Linked DNA regions of Lonchura striata. Each later gene encodes a partner of the first gene's protein in a complex. Links are inferred from orthologs where the notes say so. Each region holds a gene or a part of one and is shown in the gene's direction. Other genes may lie near its edges. The genes, in order: GAPDH and RPL13A.

Region 1 (3,900 bases):
GAATCATGGAGTGTTAAGGGGTTGGAAGGGACCTTAAAGATTATCCAGTTCCAACCCCCGTGCCACGTGCACGGACGCCTCCCACTAGAGCAGGTTGCTGAAGGCCTTACCCAGCCTGGCTTGGAACAGTGCCATGGTTGGGGCATCTACAGCCTCCCTGGGCAACGTGTTACAGTACCTCATCACACTCACAGTAAAGAACTTCTTCGTAATATCCATCCTAAATTTCATCCCTTTCAATTTGTACCCATTACTCCTTTTCCCAACACTAAAGCTGCTGACGAAGAGTCCCTCTCCGGCTTCCCTGTAGGTCCCTTCGGATACTGGATACTACTCCATCCAATTGGGCACAGGCTGCAGCCGGGGCGGGTGGCTACCTGCCCTTTGTTACCAGGTGAAAGCAGCGCACACCATCCTGCGGAGCAGCAGCGGGCCCGGCGGGAGCAGCCCCTGACCGGCTATCGCCCTCTCTGCCTCCTCGGGCAGGGGTGCAGCCACCCATCCCCGCTCTGGGGACACCTCCGACCAAGGACCGGTGCATCTTTCACCACCGCCACCTGCACCACCAACCCCCTTGGGGTGGCCCGACGGGAGGGTGATCGCTACGGACCCTACATTCCCAGAGCGGGGCCTTTGTTAACGGGGGGCGGCGGGGCGGGGGAAACAGGGGGAGTCTTCGGCAGCCGCACCCGCGGCACGGGCGCACGTAGCCCAGTCCGGCCCCCGCGCTGCCATTCGACGGCGTCGCGGCGGGGCGGGCCCTCGCCCTACCCTCACGCGGCTATAAAGGGCGGCGGAGAGGCGCTGCGCCACCTCCTCACTGCGCGCCGGGCGGCTCGGAGGCAGCAGGTAACGGGCGGGGCGGCGGAGATGCGCGGGGGGAGAGAGCGGTGGCGGCGGGCGTGTGGGAGCCCCCTCCCCACACGGGCGCCCCGCCCGCCGGCGGGGGGTGCGGCAGCCCCCGGGCGGAGCGGGGCCGCGTGGCGGCGGGGCCCAGGGCACAAAGGCGGCGCGGCGCAAAATGGCGGGGGCGGCGTGAAGGGGGGCGGTGAGGCGAGGAGGGATAGGGGTGTGAGGGGGAGATGGTCGCCGCAGGAGGAGGAGGGGGCGGGTAGTTGTCGCGGGGGGGGCAGGTGGGTTAGTCGCCCGCGGCGGGGGGTGGGGCTAGCTCGGCGCGCGAGCCCCCGCTCGCCTCGCGGCCCCCGATGCCCGCTCGCCCCTCAGCGAGGGCGAGGCGTTAACGGCACCGGCTGAGGGCGCGACTCCGAGGGCGGCTGGTGCCGGCTCTTACGCCCCCGCTGCTGGTTTCTGCCCACAGGAACATCCCGAAGCGGTAAAGATGGTGAAAGTCGGAGTCAATGGGTAAGTGCTGCGGCCGACAGGACCAGCGGGGATTTCGAGGGGGGTTGTGGTGGAGCGGCAAGGTCGCCTCAAGGGCGCGGGGGGAAGATTCGGGGAGAGGCTGGATCCCGCCGGCCCCGCTCGGCCGGCGCCCCCCGGGGCAGCGAGCGGTGCTGCTGACTCATTTCTCCTCGGGTTCGGGGTGACTCACTCCGGAACGGGCTGCCGTTGCTCGGCTGCCCCAGTTTCCCTCCCCGTTCCCGGGGATCCCTGCAGCCCCCCACCGAAAGGTTTCTCAGTGGATCGTGTGTCGATGGCGGCCCCGGGGATGTGACCTTCTCGTGCCGGGCCGAGGAGTAACCGGATCCCCGGGGCTCTCTGTAAATTTAGCGATTGACCTTTCTGGGGCGGGGGTCGTTCTTAATCTTTAACCGGGGTGCCTTGGCCTTTGGACGAGCTGCAGGGCTCCCTCCCGCCCTGCCGGGCAGGGAGCAGCTGATGATCCCAAGGGAAGGCTGCCAAGGACTGCCTCCCATGCCCAGCTGGGCTGGTTCTCTGTTGCACCTCCTCACCCGTGTCTTTCTCTCTCCAGATTTGGCCGCATCGGCCGCCTGGTCACCCGGGCTGCCGTCCTCTCTGGCAAAGTCCAGGTGGTGGCCATCAACGATCCCTTCATTGATCTGAACTACATGGTGAGTTGCTTTGCAGTGCCCCCTCTGGGCCTTTCTGAGTAGGGCTCCTGTGGATCTGTTCTCGTAGCTTCCCCGGGTGTTAGAAGATGATGGCAGCCTGGGTGCCTGACCTTCTGCTCCTCCTATTTATTAGGTTTACATGTTCAAGTATGATTCTACTCATGGCCACTTCCGGGGCACTGTCAAGGCTGAGAATGGGAAACTTGTCATCAATGGGAATGCTATCACCATCTTCCAGGAGTAAGTATCTCTTTCTTGATTGCTCCTCTGGAGATTGAAAGCAACTGTGTCATGGAACAGCTTGTAAAATTTTGTCCCTCCTTAGGCGTGACCCCAGCAACATCAAGTGGGCAGATGCTGGTGCTGAATATGTTGTGGAGTCTACTGGTGTCTTCACCACCATGGAGAAGGCCGGGGTGAGTATGCCACAGAGGTGTAGGAGAGAAGGGAATAGTGCTGCTTTCTGCCTGTCGGGCACACCACCATTTACAGAGCTGCTCAAGATAGGGCTGTGAAGGAGAAGAGATCTGAAGAAGCAAGCTTGGAAGGATCCTGAGTTATGTAATCTCTTATCTTTCTCTCTCCAGGCTCACCTGAAGGGTGGTGCCAAGCGTGTGATCATCTCTGCCCCCTCTGCTGATGCTCCCATGTTCGTGATGGGTGTCAACCATGAGAAGTATGACAAATCTCTGAAAATTGTCAGGTAAGGAGAGTAGCATGCTTCCTGGCCTGGAGCTCTCGCCAGCTGCCAGGGGTCTCACTTCACCTCCGTAGGAGTGTTGCCTCTGGCTGACGTGCCTTTATCTCTCTATCCCAGCAATGCTTCCTGCACTACTAACTGTCTGGCGCCCTTGGCCAAGGTCATCCATGACAACTTCGGCATTGTGGAGGGTCTCATGGTAGGTCTGCAGCTTGGTGCTGAAGAGGGTGACCTACCACAGATCCCCTCACGTGAGAGGGAAAAGCGTCTGTGTCACCTGGGATGCTCTTTCTGGAGAGTATTGGCTGTGTTCTTAATCCTATGCTCTTTCCTCAGACCACTGTCCATGCCATCACAGCCACACAGAAGACAGTGGATGGGCCCTCTGGGAAACTCTGGAGGGATGGCAGAGGTGCTGCTCAGAACATTATCCCAGCATCTACTGGAGCTGCTAAGGCTGTGGGAAAAGTCATTCCTGAGCTCAATGGGTGAGTGTTGTCCCTTCTCAGGTGTCAGGAGGAGGCAGAACATTCCTAGACTGGCAGAGGAGTGCCAGATGCTGTTCCTTAGTGACTTGTGTCTCTCACAGGAAACTTACTGGAATGGCTTTCCGTGTGCCAACCCCTAACGTCTCTGTTGTGGACCTGACCTGCCGTCTGGAAAAACCAGTAAGTGTTGTGGACGGGGTCCTAACAGCTTGCAGATGTGCCCCTCTTCCTCTAAGCTCTGCATTGCACCTGGAATTGCCCTCTCTGCATCCATCTTGTCCTGAAGATAATCTTTGTGAAAAGAGCACCTGCTGGGGTGTTCCCATGTGTGTCTTCTCCCTTCCCTGTCCCCAATGGACATTTTGTGTGAGTTGGAATCTGATCATCTTGGATCTGTGTCTCCTCAGGCCAAGTACGATGACATCAAGAGGGTAGTGAAGGCTGCTGCTGATGGGCCCCTGAAGGGCATCCTGGCATACACAGAGGACCAGGTGAGGAATGCCTACTCTCAGCCTGCAGTTACAGGCTCTTGGCCTCACTTTTGTAAAAGGCAGCTTTGGGCACTTGGAGTAGAGACTGTGGGCAACCATATGCATTACAATTTCTCGTGTTTCAGGTCGTCTCCTGTGACTTCAATGGTGATAGCCATTCCTCCACCTTTGATGCGGGTGCTGGCATT
Region 2 (3,900 bases), on another chromosome or scaffold:
ATGGACATGGAGGACAGAGGGACATGGTCCGAGGCACACAGGGGACAATGGCACCTGGGGGGACACCACGGGACCGGAGGGGACCTCGGAATTTTGGGGGTCGCTCCGGCCGCCTGTCACTCACTGTGTGCTCGGCCCCGCCCACTCGCCTTGGCCCCGCCCTTCCCTTGGCCGCGCCTCTTTCCCGCGCTCCGCACTGGCCACGCCCCCTCCCCATTCGTGTCCCCGCCCTGCTGTGACGCGTCGGGCGCTGATTGGCGCAGACGCGCGAGGAGTGGCAGTGGGTGTTCCTGATCGCTGCGCTCGTGCACTACGGGGGCGTGGCCTTCTACGGCGCCTTCGCCTCGGGGGAGCCGCAGCCGTGGGCGGAGCCGCCGCGCGAGGAGGCGGAGCCGCTGGCGCCGGCCGGCGAGGACGACGAGGAGGAGGAGGAGGAGGAAGGAGGAGTGGGACCCCCGGGACCCCCGGGAGGGCCCCCCGCCAGCTACGGCGCCACCGGCACCACCCCGGCTCCCGGGACCCCGCACGAGTGACGCGGGGCGCCCGCAGGGATGCGCTCCGAAGAGGCGACCCCACCCCCCTTCCATCCCCGAGAGCCCCGGGATCCAACGGGGACCCCCGGTCCGAGCCCCCCGAGAGCCCTGAGACCCCCGGGAGCCACCGGGGAACCCCGGTCCGAGTCCCTGAGAGCCCCGAGAACCCCAGGAGCGACCGGGGACCCCCGGTGCGAGAGCCCCGAGAGCCGGGGCCCCTCCGCTGTACATATATAAATACAAGGAGCGACCGCTGGAGAGCCTGGAGTGCTGTACTGGGGACACTGGGAGGGATTCGGATGGTTACTGGGGGCACTGGGAGGGACTGCAGGTACTGGGCGGGGAACTGGGGCAGCACTGGGAGGCCGGGGAGCGGGTCCTGCGCGTACTGGGAGCACCGGGAGGGACTGGGGGCACCGGGGGCGTTCCCGCCCCACTTCCGCCCTCAGTGGCGCATCCCGGCGCGGCTTCGCGCCCTCTTCGCGTCGTGGCGTCACTTCCGCCCGCCGCTGTCCCCGACGGAAGCGGCGACCCCGCGTGGGGGGCGGGGCCTCTTTGCGAGCGGGCGGCGGCCATGGCGGAGCCGCGGGTGCGGCGCGGCGGCACGGGGGCGGCACGGGGCGGGAGGGGCGCCCGGCCGGGCTCCGCGGGGCTCTGGGATGGGGCCGGGCGCTGCGGGGGGCTGCGGGGAGCGGCGGGCGGGCGGCGGGGGGAGCGCGGGGCGCGGCCACGTGGCGGCCCCGCGGTGCGGCCCGGCCCCGGTGGCGGCGGGGCCTCACCCGGTGCCGCCCGCGCCGCAGGTTCTGGTGATCGACGGGCGCGGGCACCTCCTGGGCCGGCTGGCGGCGATCGTGGCCAAGCAGGTGCTGCTGGGTGAGTGCGGGAGCCTTTCCCGGGGCACACCGGGGGAATCCCGGGACAATCCCGGGGCACCGGGCCCCCCGCGCCGTGATGAGCGCTGTCGGCTGTCGAGTTTAACGACAATGAGAGCTGCCTCCATGCACTACCAGCTGAGCGCGGGGGCACCGGGGGATACTGGGGGTACCGGGGGCACCGGGCTGGGCTGACCGGGCCCGCCGCGCTCTCCGCAGGCCGCCGCGTGGTCGTGGTTCGCTGCGAGGGCATCAACATCTCTGGGAACTTCTACCGCAACAAGCGTGAGTGGCCCGGGGGTCCCGGGTTCGGGAGAAATCCCGGGTTCGGGAGAAATCCCGGGAATGGAAGGAGATCCCGGATTTTGAGGGCAGTGCCAGGTTTTGGGGACAGTCCCGGGTTTTGGGGACAATCCCGGGTTTTGGGGACAATCCCGGGTTTTAGGGTCGGTCCCGCCGTTCCTGAGTCACGCAGAAGTTTCCAGAAGGTTCTCGGTGCACCCCCAGCCCCCATTTTGGGGGATTTTCGCATTCCCCAAATCCCATTTAGGGAATTCACTCTGTTTGCCCACCCCAGTGAAGTTTTTGGGGGGATTTCCCCCTGTTTCCCCATCCTGGCACTCCCCAGTTCCCAAAGTGCCATTTCGGAGGGATTTTGTCCCGTTTTCTGCCGTTCCTGAGGGATTTTGCCCCGTTTTCCCCGCAGTGAAGTTCCTGGCATTCCTGAGGAAGAGGATGAACACCAACCCCTCGCGGGGCCCTTTCCACTTCCGAGCTCCCAGTCGGATCTTCTGGCGCACGGTCCGAGGTGAAAACTCCGCTTTTTTTCTGATTTTATTTCCTTTTTCCCTGATTCTCCTTTTTTTTTCCCGTTTTTTTTCTTTTTCTCTGACTCTCTTTTTTTTTTTTTTTGGTTTTTTCCTCTTTTTTTCCTTTTTCTCTGATTATCCCAAAATCAGCCCTGGGAATTGCCCTAATCCCAGTGCTTTCACCCCAAATCCAAGGATGCTAAATCTGTGTTTTCACCCCAAATTCAGGGATGCTGCCCCACAAAACCAAGCGGGGCCAGGCGGCCCTGGAGCGGCTCAAGGTGTTCGATGGTATCCCCCCGCCCTACGACAAGGTGGGAAAACCCCAAACCCCCAAATCTTACCCAAAATTCTCCCTCCAAAACCCCCCGAATTGCCACTCCAGAAATCCCCAAGTCATTCCCAAATTCCCTCTCTGGAGCCCTCCAAATTTCCACTGCCAAAACCCTGAAATCTTCCCCAAAATTCCCTCTCTAAAATCCCCCAAATGTCCTTCAAATTCCCCCTCCAGAACTCCCCAAATTTCCCCCCCAAATCTCCCTAAAATCCCCCCAAAATGAGCCGTGGTGTCAGTGATGTCATTTTTACCTACATTGTTCGATTTCTGCTGAGAAAAAAACAAATCTGAGACACCTGGAGCCCCGCCCACCCCTGGGACCTGCCCAATAAAACCCCAAAAACCTTAAAAAAACCCCCAAAAATCCCGAAATTCCTGGGTTTTCCAGAGGAAGCGGATGGTGGTGCCGGCTGCCCTCAAAATCATCCGCCTCAAACCCACGCGCAAGGTGGGTGCGGGAGGGGGTTTGGGGGGTTTTTAGGAGTTTTTGGGATTTTGGGAGTTTTATGGGATTGTTGTGTGGATTTTACAGCGTTTTAGGCAGTTTTATGAGGGTTTTTTAATGGATTTTTTTAGGAGTCTATGGGATTTTAGGGAGCTTTATATGGTTTTTTAGGGGTTGTATGGGATTTTAATGGGGGTAGTGGGATTTTTGGGGGGTTTCATGAGGGTTTTTAAGAAGTTTAAGGGATTTTAGGGGGTTTTCTGGGACTTTTTTAGGGGGTTTATGGGATTTTAAGGGTTTTATGGGATTTCGGTGGAGAATTAGGGAGATTTGGGTGAGTTTTGTGGTATTTTGGGCAGTTCTGGGTGGTTTTATGGGATTGGGCCAGGTTTTATGGGATTTGGGTGGTTTTATGGGGTTTTGGTGGGGTTTTATGGGATTTGGGCTGGTTTTATGGGGTTTTGGTGGGGTTTTATAGGATTGGGGGTGGTTTTATGGGATTTGGGGGGGTTTTGGGGTTCTGAGCCCCCCGTGCCTCCCAGTTTGCCGTTCTGGGCCGGCTGGCACACGAGGTGGGCTGGAAGTACCGGGACGTGACCGAGGCCCTGGAGGAGAAGCGGAAGGAGAAGGCCAAGCTCCGCTACAACAAGAAGAGGAAGATGATGGTGAGGAAAACGGGGAAAACGCCCCAAAATCCCTCGGGAGGACACCCAAATCGGGGGGAGGGTCCAGAGCCAGGCAGGGAGAACCCCCCAGGATTTGGGATTGGGATTTCAAAATGCTGGCAGGGGTGGGAAAGTCCAGAAAAACAGCGGAAAAGCCCTAAAACCAGGTAAAAATCCTAAAGCCAGGTAAAAGAGTCCTAAAAGGAGGTAAAAGCCTCAAACCAGGGGCAAGACCTGAA

What was found.
Region 2: GAPDH (region 1) and RPL13A share a complex: the UniProt entries of both Homo sapiens proteins name them as parts of the GAIT complex. The link is inferred for Lonchura striata from reciprocal best matches to the Homo sapiens genes GAPDH and RPL13A.

Annotation. Positions count from the first base shown.
Region 1 is NC_134604.1:29,417,325-29,421,224, forward strand, and holds the start of GAPDH (glyceraldehyde-3-phosphate dehydrogenase), read left to right. Parts: upstream 1-759; 5' UTR 760-849; intron 850-1,318; 5' UTR 1,319-1,339; coding exon 1,340-1,362; intron 1,363-1,933; coding exon 1,934-2,033; intron 2,034-2,166; coding exon 2,167-2,273; intron 2,274-2,358; coding exon 2,359-2,449; intron 2,450-2,620; coding exon 2,621-2,736; intron 2,737-2,850; coding exon 2,851-2,932; intron 2,933-3,069; coding exon 3,070-3,221; intron 3,222-3,322; coding exon 3,323-3,401; intron 3,402-3,628; coding exon 3,629-3,712; intron 3,713-3,837; coding exon 3,838-3,900. UniProt on the Homo sapiens protein: Has both glyceraldehyde-3-phosphate dehydrogenase and nitrosylase activities, thereby playing a role in glycolysis and nuclear functions, respectively.
Region 2 is NC_134640.1:2,921,741-2,925,640, reverse strand, and holds the start of RPL13A (large ribosomal subunit protein uL13), read left to right. Parts: upstream 1-1,058; 5' UTR 1,059-1,107; coding exon 1,108-1,122; intron 1,123-1,333; coding exon 1,334-1,406; intron 1,407-1,474; exon of another isoform or gene 1,475-1,553; intron 1,554-1,624; coding exon 1,625-1,690; intron 1,691-2,111; coding exon 2,112-2,213; intron 2,214-2,442; coding exon 2,443-2,528; intron 2,529-2,778; exon of another isoform or gene 2,779-2,849; intron 2,850-2,939; coding exon 2,940-2,999; intron 3,000-3,538; coding exon 3,539-3,661; intron 3,662-3,900. Other genes in the region: SLC17A7 (vesicular glutamate transporter 1), read left to right, coding at 264-533. UniProt on the Homo sapiens protein: Associated with ribosomes but is not required for canonical ribosome function and has extra-ribosomal functions.